2 linked regions of the Tribolium castaneum genome follow. The protein of the gene in region 1 purifies or fractionates together with the protein of each later gene. This does not show direct contact. Links are inferred from orthologs where the notes say so. Each region holds a gene or a part of one and is shown in the gene's direction. Other genes may lie near its edges.

Region 1 (5,189 bases):
GTCTTTCGATAACATATTTCCGTACGTATTAGGTAATTAGCATCACATTAGTGACTAAAAACTCGCAAAAAACTCGATCTTTCCTCATTTTTATAAACAAGTTGTATGAGGCCCCAAGAGTGCAAACTTGGGTTTTTGTAGCTAAATTTTTTTGTAGCTATTACAGTCAAACCTTAATAAGTCGAACTTCGAAAATTTTTTGGACTTTTGAGTCTATAGTAACAATTTTTTTAAATACTTTTGCAGCAAACAACATTTAGAAGCAGCGTTTATCTTAGAATGATAGACATACGAAATAATAAAAAATATTTTTCAGAGCCCACTATCTATTGTATTTTTTTGTTGAAAAATAATGTTTTTTGTATACTGCTTATCATTAAAACATATAATCAAATAAATTGCCATTAAAATTTGAAGTTTCTTTTTTTTCTAGTTATTTTTGATATTTTGCTGGCATTAATAACTGTTTTTTCGGGTTATCGAAGTTTGACTGTAGTTTAATAAAAAAAAACGTTTATCCTTGTGGTTAAAGTGTTATTTTGTCTATTCAAAAGAGTTGATAAAGAAATTAACATCTGCTGAAAAAAAAGATTTTTTAATAAATTTGAGTTAAGGATGAATAATTTCCGGAATATTAAAATATTAACATTGTAAAATTTGTTACAAGTTGCTGTAGACGTAGTGAATGCTGATGAAATGGGCAAAAAACACGTATTTATTGGTTAACGGTTAATTGCGGTTTATTATCCACATTTGAACGTAACAAAGGATGATTTTTACTATAGTGATGGTAACTGTTCACTGCAATTTGGCACAGACGTTAAAACACCATTATTTGAATTTTTTGCTTTGTGATGCATACATTGTCTCATAAATCCGTTTTAAATTCCGGACTTGCAAAGCTGCGACCTTTACTAACAGGAACTGACAATTATTATCTTCCTTATAAGAATTTTTCTCATGTGGACAGTCAATGCTGTTACACATTTGCATACACGATCGTCATTCCATCATCTTCTTAAAAAATCCGTTGCAAAAGAATCGCTAATGGCGTCCCCATTTATTTAACTATTTAGACAGTCGTTGCAAAAATTTTTAATGCCACTCGAGTCGATTGTTAGAATTTAGCAATTTGTTTGCAGATGTGGCGACTGTAAATTTTGGATATTGAGTCATTGCGTTGAAAAAATGGCATTGCCGTGGTGACATTGTAAGTCTGCAGTAATTTCAGGTCATTAAAATCAAGCGCTCCGACATTGAATCGCAAAATCTCGATAAACAATACAATATTTCGCCCGCAAATACATGTTGCAAAATCTTTCGATTAGAAAGCAGGTATCCTGTAACAAGTGCCATTACAAAACTGAAAAAACCACGAGTGAATGTATATCGGTCTCGGCAAAGTAAGCGTGACTTGCAATTTCACTCCAATGGCTTTGAAAAAATTATTCGAGCCGAAATTTGAAATCCAGTCAAGGACAGTGATTCGGCGATTGCAGCATCAAACGGTACTTGCTACAAACATCTATTGCCAAACCAACTGTTCATTACTGACATATTTTCCCAAGTCAACGACCTGTCAGCAGGTAATGTAACCCAATATGTTACAAAGGTGCATTTGCTCGGCCATTGTCGAGTCGTTTGTTCGCCCTCTGCTATGCCACCTCGTAAAAATCATCGGCCCTTAAGAAAACCGACACGAAATGGATATTACGCTGGAAGTAGGTCAGCTTTTTATCAGACTTCGTCACACTCCACCGACCACTTCCTCGATTGATTCGTTGGGAAATTTTGACGACTTTTCGAAAATTTTACGTGACTTCTGACACGACCAACAGGGCCGGACTGGTTATTTTTTAACTTACTGAGTCGCGAAAAACTCTTTTTGCGCCGACTCCTTTGGATAAATAAGAAAGAAGAGAAAAAAACTGGGTAGTTTTGAATGTCTATGTTTCCTACCCCGGTGGGCTTGAGCAGCCAGGCCGGGCCTGCCGATTACATAATTCCAGAATATTTGCCTGCAATGAAAAATCAATTTCGATGTATTTAACGTCTCATTGTTTGGAATTAATTGCAAATTAAGTCAATTCAGACTGTTTATATGCCTCGGGAGAGACCACCAAGGGAAAGTAGTTTAAGCACGAAGTTACAAATAAACACGATGCGATTTGAATCCGATATTAAAATTGTTGAGACACAATTTCGTCGGTGGCTTCCGTCGAGAAGTGCTGAATCGGTTTCCACTAATTAAAAATTCTTGTTTTAGTTAAGAGCGACCTTTCGACCGGTGACACTAGCATTGTATTGTAAAAAGTACAAAGACTGGCGCACCTGACCGTGAAAAAACTCGGTTAATTACAATTTTCGAAATTATTTTACTTTCTGAGACGGTTTGGTTGCGCATCGATCGCCTGCTGCGAAGATAAGAGAGCAAACATCGCGGAACAGTATTTTTCTCGTAGGACATTAAAGAAAAATGTACTTTTGTTTGAGTGTTTGCACATAAAATATTGCCTGCTCCTTATCTTTATTACACGGAATGTTGATCGAACAATGAATTACGGCTGCAAGAATTCGATTCCAATTGATTGTATTTAAATAACGGGCCTTCAATCAGCCATTAACATGGTTTTAATGTTTTTACATTTTTTTGAACAAACAATTTGATAAACTTTGTTGTTTGTAAACATCACCTTGAATGATATTACAGACTGCATAAAGCTACTTAAAAGAAGCAGATTGTTGAAGCGTGAGTCAAGTAAATAAAATTCTTGAAATTTAATTAATCAAACTATAACTTATTGAAATTTTCGTTTAGTCGCATTTTAATCCCGATTGAAGTAAAAAAGATTCGGTCGCTTTTTCGGGCTAAAAGCGTCTTAAAATTATTTCAGGTTCGCGGCATCATAATCTTCCATCACAATTAAAGCTTTATTTCTTAAGTACATAAAAGTTTATTTCGGGTTTAAAGCCATCCCAAGTTTGATTGTTTCTCTCGCACGCAAACTTTTCCATTCGAGTATAAATCAGGCAGTAATTCATAATTTCTTTAATGCTAATTATTGCAATTATTTTAAACGGTCATTCTGTTTACACGAATTCCAGTTATTTGTAATAACGTTGCAAGGTTTTTAAAAAAATCAATTCAATACACGGAAATATCTTGTTGCGTTTTATTAATGTTTAGGTGAATCAAAATACAAGAAGATTATCGATGTTGTCATGTGCAATTACCGGGAACAAGGTTTAAATGTTTTTAATTATTGTTTTGTACGAAGGAAACGTTTATGTCTATTGCAAACGAGAAGAATTTTTAATTATTTTACGATGATTTCTACAAGTGGAGTGAACGTAATGTCATGAAAATGTCTACATCACTGCCCTAGAGCAACAACCAATTGACTGAGGCACGATTTAAATAATTACAGTTCGAAAAAATCACAAGGCGAGGTTTTACTGTACGCGGTTTATCAATCAAATTTTGACGTGTTCGCCTTGCTGACCCACAATTCATAATCGAGAAAGTATGAAAGTATGAAAATTCGTCATTATCAAAAATCCGTCGGAATTTCATGCTCCATAAAACGAGCGAATTAATTAAAATAAATTCAAGCAATTACGCTGAACTTAGTACCATCGCACATTTTGCAATTAGCACCACGTGCAAGTCAATTCAATACTTTTCTCTTCACTTTTCCTCTCTTGCTCCATATTATTGTAACCTCCGGACGTGTGAACTTTTCCCCTCTGACGACACAATAACAACCGCCACTTTCTCATCATAAACAAAGATCACACGACCAATGATCGATTCCAGACCCTTGCCTCTATATTTTACGCTTCGCTGCTAAACTGGAATTCGGCTCGAAAACACAACAGGTCGCCAACACCGCCCTCAGACTCGTACAAAGAATGAAAAGGGACTCGATACATTCGGGACGACGTCCTTCAGGACTCTGCGGGGCAGGTAATCGACGCAATTTTCCATCAACAAATTGAATTTTTACAACACCATTTCAATACACAGCCCTTCTCATCGCAGCAAGATTGCACGAATTCGGGCGCTCCGCCAGCGATATCGTCAAAATCGTCAAAGTGCACGAGTCCACCTTGAGGAAAAGGTGCGTAGGTAACCGTCATTGTGACGGTTACCCCGAAAATAACTGTCATTTGTGACGGTTACCATCTAGTAACCGTCACCTATAACGGTTATCAACAATTTTAGCGCCACAGGTTAACGTGGTTATTCTTTTTGTTGACGGTTACTGGAAAGCAGTTGGGGTTATTTTGCAGACTGATCGAGTTCGGGGACACCCCGAGCAGCGCCCTCACGCTGGAGGAGTTCATGACGGTGGACCTGGAGGAGGAGCAGGACCCGCCGTCGTTTAAAGCGGCTCGAAAAAAGGACAAAGAGCGCCTTCAGAGGGTAATTTTCGTCGTTTTGTGTGTGTGTTTACTCGCTTTTTGTGTCGCAGTTGATGGAAGAGGAAGCCGAGAGTATAACTGAGCTCCAGCAGGAGATTGAGATGCAGTTGAATAGAGATGCGAAAATGAAATCGAGAAAAAGTAAGTATCAAAGCGAAGCGCGCTCCGGTGAAGTGTAATTTTTCCGGTCGTCGTGTTGACAAAAATCAAAGTTTGCCGGATTTGAAACGACTCTTATTTTGGATTCGGGAGTCCGGTGTGTTAATTAAGTTGGCTCGAGGCTGTGCTTTATGTTGCAGAGAAGGAGAGGGACACGGAGGAGATACAGGAGACCAATCGGTTTATTCGGGAGTCGACGATGGGGACCATCAATCAGATTATTCAAGAGGAGGCGATCGAGGATCCAGAAATCGCGAAAGAACCGGTCAAGGAGTTGGGTGAGTGATTAAAAAAGTCGACGAAAAAATTCATTATTTAGTCAAACAAGCAATAAAAACGAATTACGGATAAAGGCGCATAACGCGAATAAAAAAATGATTAATTGCCGTCAAAGTGCTCGACATGTAAACAATAATCCATAACGCGGAGATGCTCAACAATATTTGTAAAACAATATTGTAAAACATGAACGCCAATTACATTTTAAGCAGATAAGTGGCTTCCGTCATTGTGTTTGGACAATTTAAGGACAAAACATGGCATAATCAAAACAAAGAAAAACAAGTCTAGCGGAAAAATTTTAATCAAAACACGAGTCGTTTGAA
Region 2 (4,812 bases), on another chromosome or scaffold:
TAAGAACTTGAAGAAAATGGACGTTGGAGGATTATCTGGTAAGTTCAAAACACACCAAACAAACTAAATCTACTGAAAGAAAATCCGCAGACCCGTACGTGAAGATCGCTCTAGTACAGAACGGAAAGAGGCTAAAGAAGAAGAAGACCAGCATCAAGAAGTGCACACTGAACCCGTATTACAATGAGTCGTTCACTTTTGAAGTACCGTTCGAACAAATTCAGGTACTACCACTACTTTTGGTCCTACTTCAAAAAATCAAACCGAAACTTTCAGAAAGTTAACTTGGTGGTAACTGTGGTGGACTACGACAGGATTGGTACCTCGGAACCTATTGGTAAAGTCGTCTTGGGTTACAACGCAAGCGGAACCGAACTGCGCCACTGGTCTGACATGTTAGCATCGCCGCGCAGGCCCATCGCCCAGTGGCACACCCTCAAAGACCCAGAGGACGAGAAGAAGGACTAAGCTGGTCGCTTACAACGCTGATTTATTCAAACACTATAAGATTTACTCATAAAGATATTGGTTCCCTAGCATGAGAAAACGTCGCGTTACTTAATTTACTTAAAAGGAAAACAGTTATAAGTGTATATTTGTAACATCATAGATGTCAGTAACATATATTTTATAATAACTACTTGAAGGAAATATTCGATGTAACTCTCGGGACTACCTAATTTATTATTTTTCCCGAAAACAGGTTACTCAGCTTGCCTTCAACGAACTACTGTTTCTGTAAATAGATCGCCTTCTTCCAAACCGTTTTTCGTTTCGAAATTGTAACACCCACATTGAAACAGACGCGGAAGAGTCGCCAATGAGTATTAGACGATTAGATCATACAGACAATAGAAATTTGATAGCTTGTAGAACAGTTGAAATTACTTTGCAAATTTTAATGGACCGGAGCACAAAAAACTTTCGAATCTCAATCCCACAATGGGCGCTATTGCAATTTGTGGATTATTATTGCCTATTTACCACCAAAACAACGATACGACGACAAAAGGCGCATTGTTGGGATTGCGTCAGCATTGAGACATGCTGTTTTAAACAACGTAGAGTAGAATTCCGTTCCAAAATTTTATTTGGCGGTACCCTGACCAAAAATCACACGGTCCAGGGTACCAAACAGAAAAAATGATATTATTCTTCCTCTTTTCTTGTATATACCTATAAATAATGTTACAATGTTGTGTAAAATAAAAAAGTATGTAAACAGTATAGAGAAGTGTTACGGCCCCTCTTATGTATGTACCCTCCCAAACACCAGTATATGGGCCCAAGTTATTTATTTAGTAAGAAATCAGCACACACCTAGCTCTAATACCGAAGAAATTTGGTAATCATCAATGCGTGATCTTATTTTGTTATCAGGTGGTGACAATTGTAGTTTGCACGAGCTTCTTGGAGTGGCAATATCTTAGGAATGTAATTGTACGTGATCTTAGGTTTAGTTAAACAAAGAAAACAAAAACTGTAAACGGCTTTCCTTATCTAGTCATAGCAAAATAGCACTTTATTATCATTATTATTACATTGTATAGTTAATTTTTCAATGTTATTAAAGAACAATAAGTATGATAATATTATTATATTGTGAAATTAAATAAAATGTGGCAACCTTGCTCTTGTTAAGTAGACAAAAAATAAATAAATCATATCACTCGTCCTGTTGACCACTTTGTGTGTGTGTTTCATCAATCACAGATCATATCTCCTCTTTAAAGTTCTGTACTTCTTCAGCATGTACAACGTTTCCAACTCTTTCACTATATACTGCCCATGGGCAATCATTTTCTTTATTTTTTCTGGATCTTTCTCATCTTTATTTTTCATGAATGCTTTATGTAAGCGCGTTCGAAAAAACTCATAACCAGACGGATAATCTTTCCCCAGGTGCAGCAACTAAAAAATGTCAATTTTAAAGCTCACTCTGTATACACAATATTTTGGAGCCATGCTGTATACTAAACAACACAAAAAACCACACTTACTGTTTTGTAAAGCTGAATCACTTCCTTGCGTAAAGACATGTTAAAATGAGTCCGGGTAGTGTTAAAAACCGCACAGAAACACAAAATATTGTTTTTTTGAACTTTAACCCTTGAGAAGATAATTACGTTGGCAACTCGAAAATCCCTTCGAAATCATATGGTTGTCAGTTACTTTTAACCTCAATTACTGACAGCTGTTAACCCTTCAGTAATTTCTTAAATAATCACAGAAAAATGGAACAAAAACAAACAGACGTGCACTTGCGTGCAATGTTGAATAGCCCTGCACGTTTTACTCCAGCTGTCCCTACCCCGGACTGGTCCGCAGGCCCAGCTGTGCCCCCTTCAGTAAGTCCACTATTAACTTTCCCCATTTATTATGTTAATATTAGCCTCAGATTCCCGGAAAATCTAACATGATTGTGGCAACTCCTGGTTCAGCAGCTGGTGAACCTCATACAAACATAACAATACAGTAAGTAAATTAAAAAATGGATTTTTTCTCTAATGCAATTCTCGTAGAAATTGCGTAACCACGGTTGATCTCAATACAAAACTAGACCTGGCGTTAATTAACGCGAGGACCAGAAACTCGGAATATAACCCAGCACGGTTTCATGGGTTAATTATGAGACTTAGAGATCCAAGAACCACAGCTTTGATATTCCAGACTGGTAAAATTGTATGCACTGGGGCTAAAAGCGAGCAAGATGCGCTCCTGGCGTCTAAAAAGTTTGCCCGGATTATACAAAAATTGGGCTTTGATGTATGTTTTAATTTCTGATGAAGTGGCCTATGACTTTGAAGTTAAGTTGGCAGCAATTTCAAAGTCATAGACCACTTTGACCCGGCATTTAAAATATCCTTTTTAGATCAAATTTGACAACTTTAAGATACAGAATCTGGTGGCGACGTGCGATTTGAGATTCCCCATAAAATTGGAAAGTTTAAGTTTATTGCATGGACAGTTTTGTAGTTACGAACCTGAACTTTTTCCTGGAATAATCTACCGCATGATTAAACCACACTTGTGTTTGCTTATTTTTGTCAATGGGAAAATTGTTTTCACAGGCTCCAAGTCGCGAGAAGGAATTAAGGAATCGCTGGATAACATTTACCCAATTTTACGTAGCTTTAAGAAAAATTAAGTAGACTGGTTCTTTGAGATATTACTCTGAGAAATTTTTAATAATGGATATTGGTCCATAGAGGGCACTGGCAACAATTTCTCTCTATTACGCAAATGACGTAATAAAATTATTTTTTACACGTGTATTCCTCACCGTAATTATTTCTTGATTCAAATTAAGACTTCTACGCCCTGTTATTGTATTTATGTCAAAGGTTTTATAGATTTTTAAAATAGTTAATAGAGCGATGGTATTAGTTTTACCGCTATTTTACAGTGAAGTACTAATATTAAAATCGATCACCTGAGGGCGCAACAGTCATAATTTGAATCGGAAATTAAGTCAATCTTTGTGAGCAATTACTCAAAACACGAGTTTTTATTTAGGTGGGCGTTAATGGCCGTAGACATACGTAAGGCTTCAAACAGCCAATTTTGTTTTATTAAGTTTTCTTCGATTTTATTTTGTTAATTGAAAATAAATTGTACTTTTGTGAATCTAGCGTATTTCAATATCGATTGAACTTTGTTCATTCCAAGGCAATAATCCGAACCAAAAGGTTGAAACTCCCCTTTATTATTCCTCTTTTGCCTTCTCCTTTTCTTTGTACAAGATAGAAAGGATAAATTTGATCAAATCGTACCCTGTGAGATTTTTCTAACTCAGATAAACTGTTTTATAACAATACATATGTTAGGTCGTTAATTTATTTATTATTGTTAGATTAGGCCACTTAGGATCACGGTTTATCTGTATTGTATTTTATTGTTTGTACATTTTTTGTTAGCAATAAACTGCGTTTGATATTCCATAACTTTTTTATTGGAGACAAAGAACAATCTTTCACGACTGGAATAACCCGTAAACTTTGTTTTACTTTGGGAGATTAGTAAATGCAATTCAGGGGTGAATGTCCCACCGGCAAATATAGATTTGGGAATCGGTGGCGCCAGTGCTGAAAACTCGCCACATATCGACAAATCTTGCTTTTATTTTATTATGACGAGAGTAAACAGCGCGATTTTTCACTGTTATTATTCCGTGATCAGTTGTTGTTTGCCAGAAATAGCTCAAAGGTGAAGCATGTTTAAAAGAACAATAAATCGAAGCGCTAAAATTAAGCCAGGGGTAATAATTGCGATGAAATTCAGGTCAACTTAATTTCGCGAGAAACAAACAACGCGGCCCTGGCCGCAACAATTAGATTCGGTCCATTAATAACAAAACCATCCTCTCGGTTTCGATAAAATGTCCTAGCTCGTAATCAATTTAGGGAATAATTGAACGAATTTGTTCATGCACCTTGACCTTTTCACGTAATTGTCTGTTATATGAACATGACAAATCGTTGTGAAAGCAAACAACTGGGCCACGTGGCTGCGATGAGTGACTTAAATTCCGAGGGATTAGTAATTTTTGCCTAATAATTGAATTTTTCTATTTTAAGCTCAATCGATGCGAACCGAAGCTCTGTGTCGGTTTTTAATCAAAAAAATATGTTTTTTAAGCCCAACGCTATTTCCCGACAGATATGATAACGCAATAATTAATAAAAAAAATCATCGCGCTGCTGTTCTCATCAAGATAAGTGAGATTCGTTGTTTTGACGTCAAAGCTCAAGTTTAGTGTTGACGCCAGGACGAAACCGTTGTCCTGGTAACAGACTGCCTGGAAATTCGTTT

Evidence for each region. The genes of interacting proteins can lie anywhere in the genome.
Region 2: the proteins of Brf (region 1) and Trf purify together in Drosophila melanogaster (affinity purification with mass spectrometry; 3 studies listed by BioGRID, with this or other methods). This does not show direct contact. The link is inferred for Tribolium castaneum from reciprocal best matches to the Drosophila melanogaster genes Brf and Trf.

The regions. Positions count from the first base shown.
Region 1 is NC_087396.1:22,068,589-22,073,777, reverse strand, and holds part of Brf (transcription factor IIIB 90 kDa subunit), read left to right. Parts: intron 1-3,817; coding exon 3,818-3,967; intron 3,968-4,027; coding exon 4,028-4,121; intron 4,122-4,293; coding exon 4,294-4,426; intron 4,427-4,475; coding exon 4,476-4,566; intron 4,567-4,724; coding exon 4,725-4,862; intron 4,863-5,189.
Region 2 is NC_087402.1:7,354,601-7,359,412, reverse strand, and holds Trf (uncharacterized protein Trf), read left to right. Parts: upstream 1-2,212; 5' UTR 2,213-2,234; coding exon 2,235-2,348; intron 2,349-2,392; coding exon 2,393-2,475; intron 2,476-2,522; coding exon 2,523-2,766; intron 2,767-2,872; coding exon 2,873-3,148; 3' UTR 3,149-3,627; downstream 3,628-4,812. Other genes in the region: Syt1 (synaptotagmin 1), read left to right, coding at 1-38, 91-224, 277-468; osi (electron transfer flavoprotein regulatory factor 1), read right to left, coding at 1,708-1,911, 2,001-2,039. UniProt on the Drosophila melanogaster protein: Acts as a transcription factor. Binds to the TATA box promoter element which lies close to the position of transcription initiation. May be essential for embryonic development.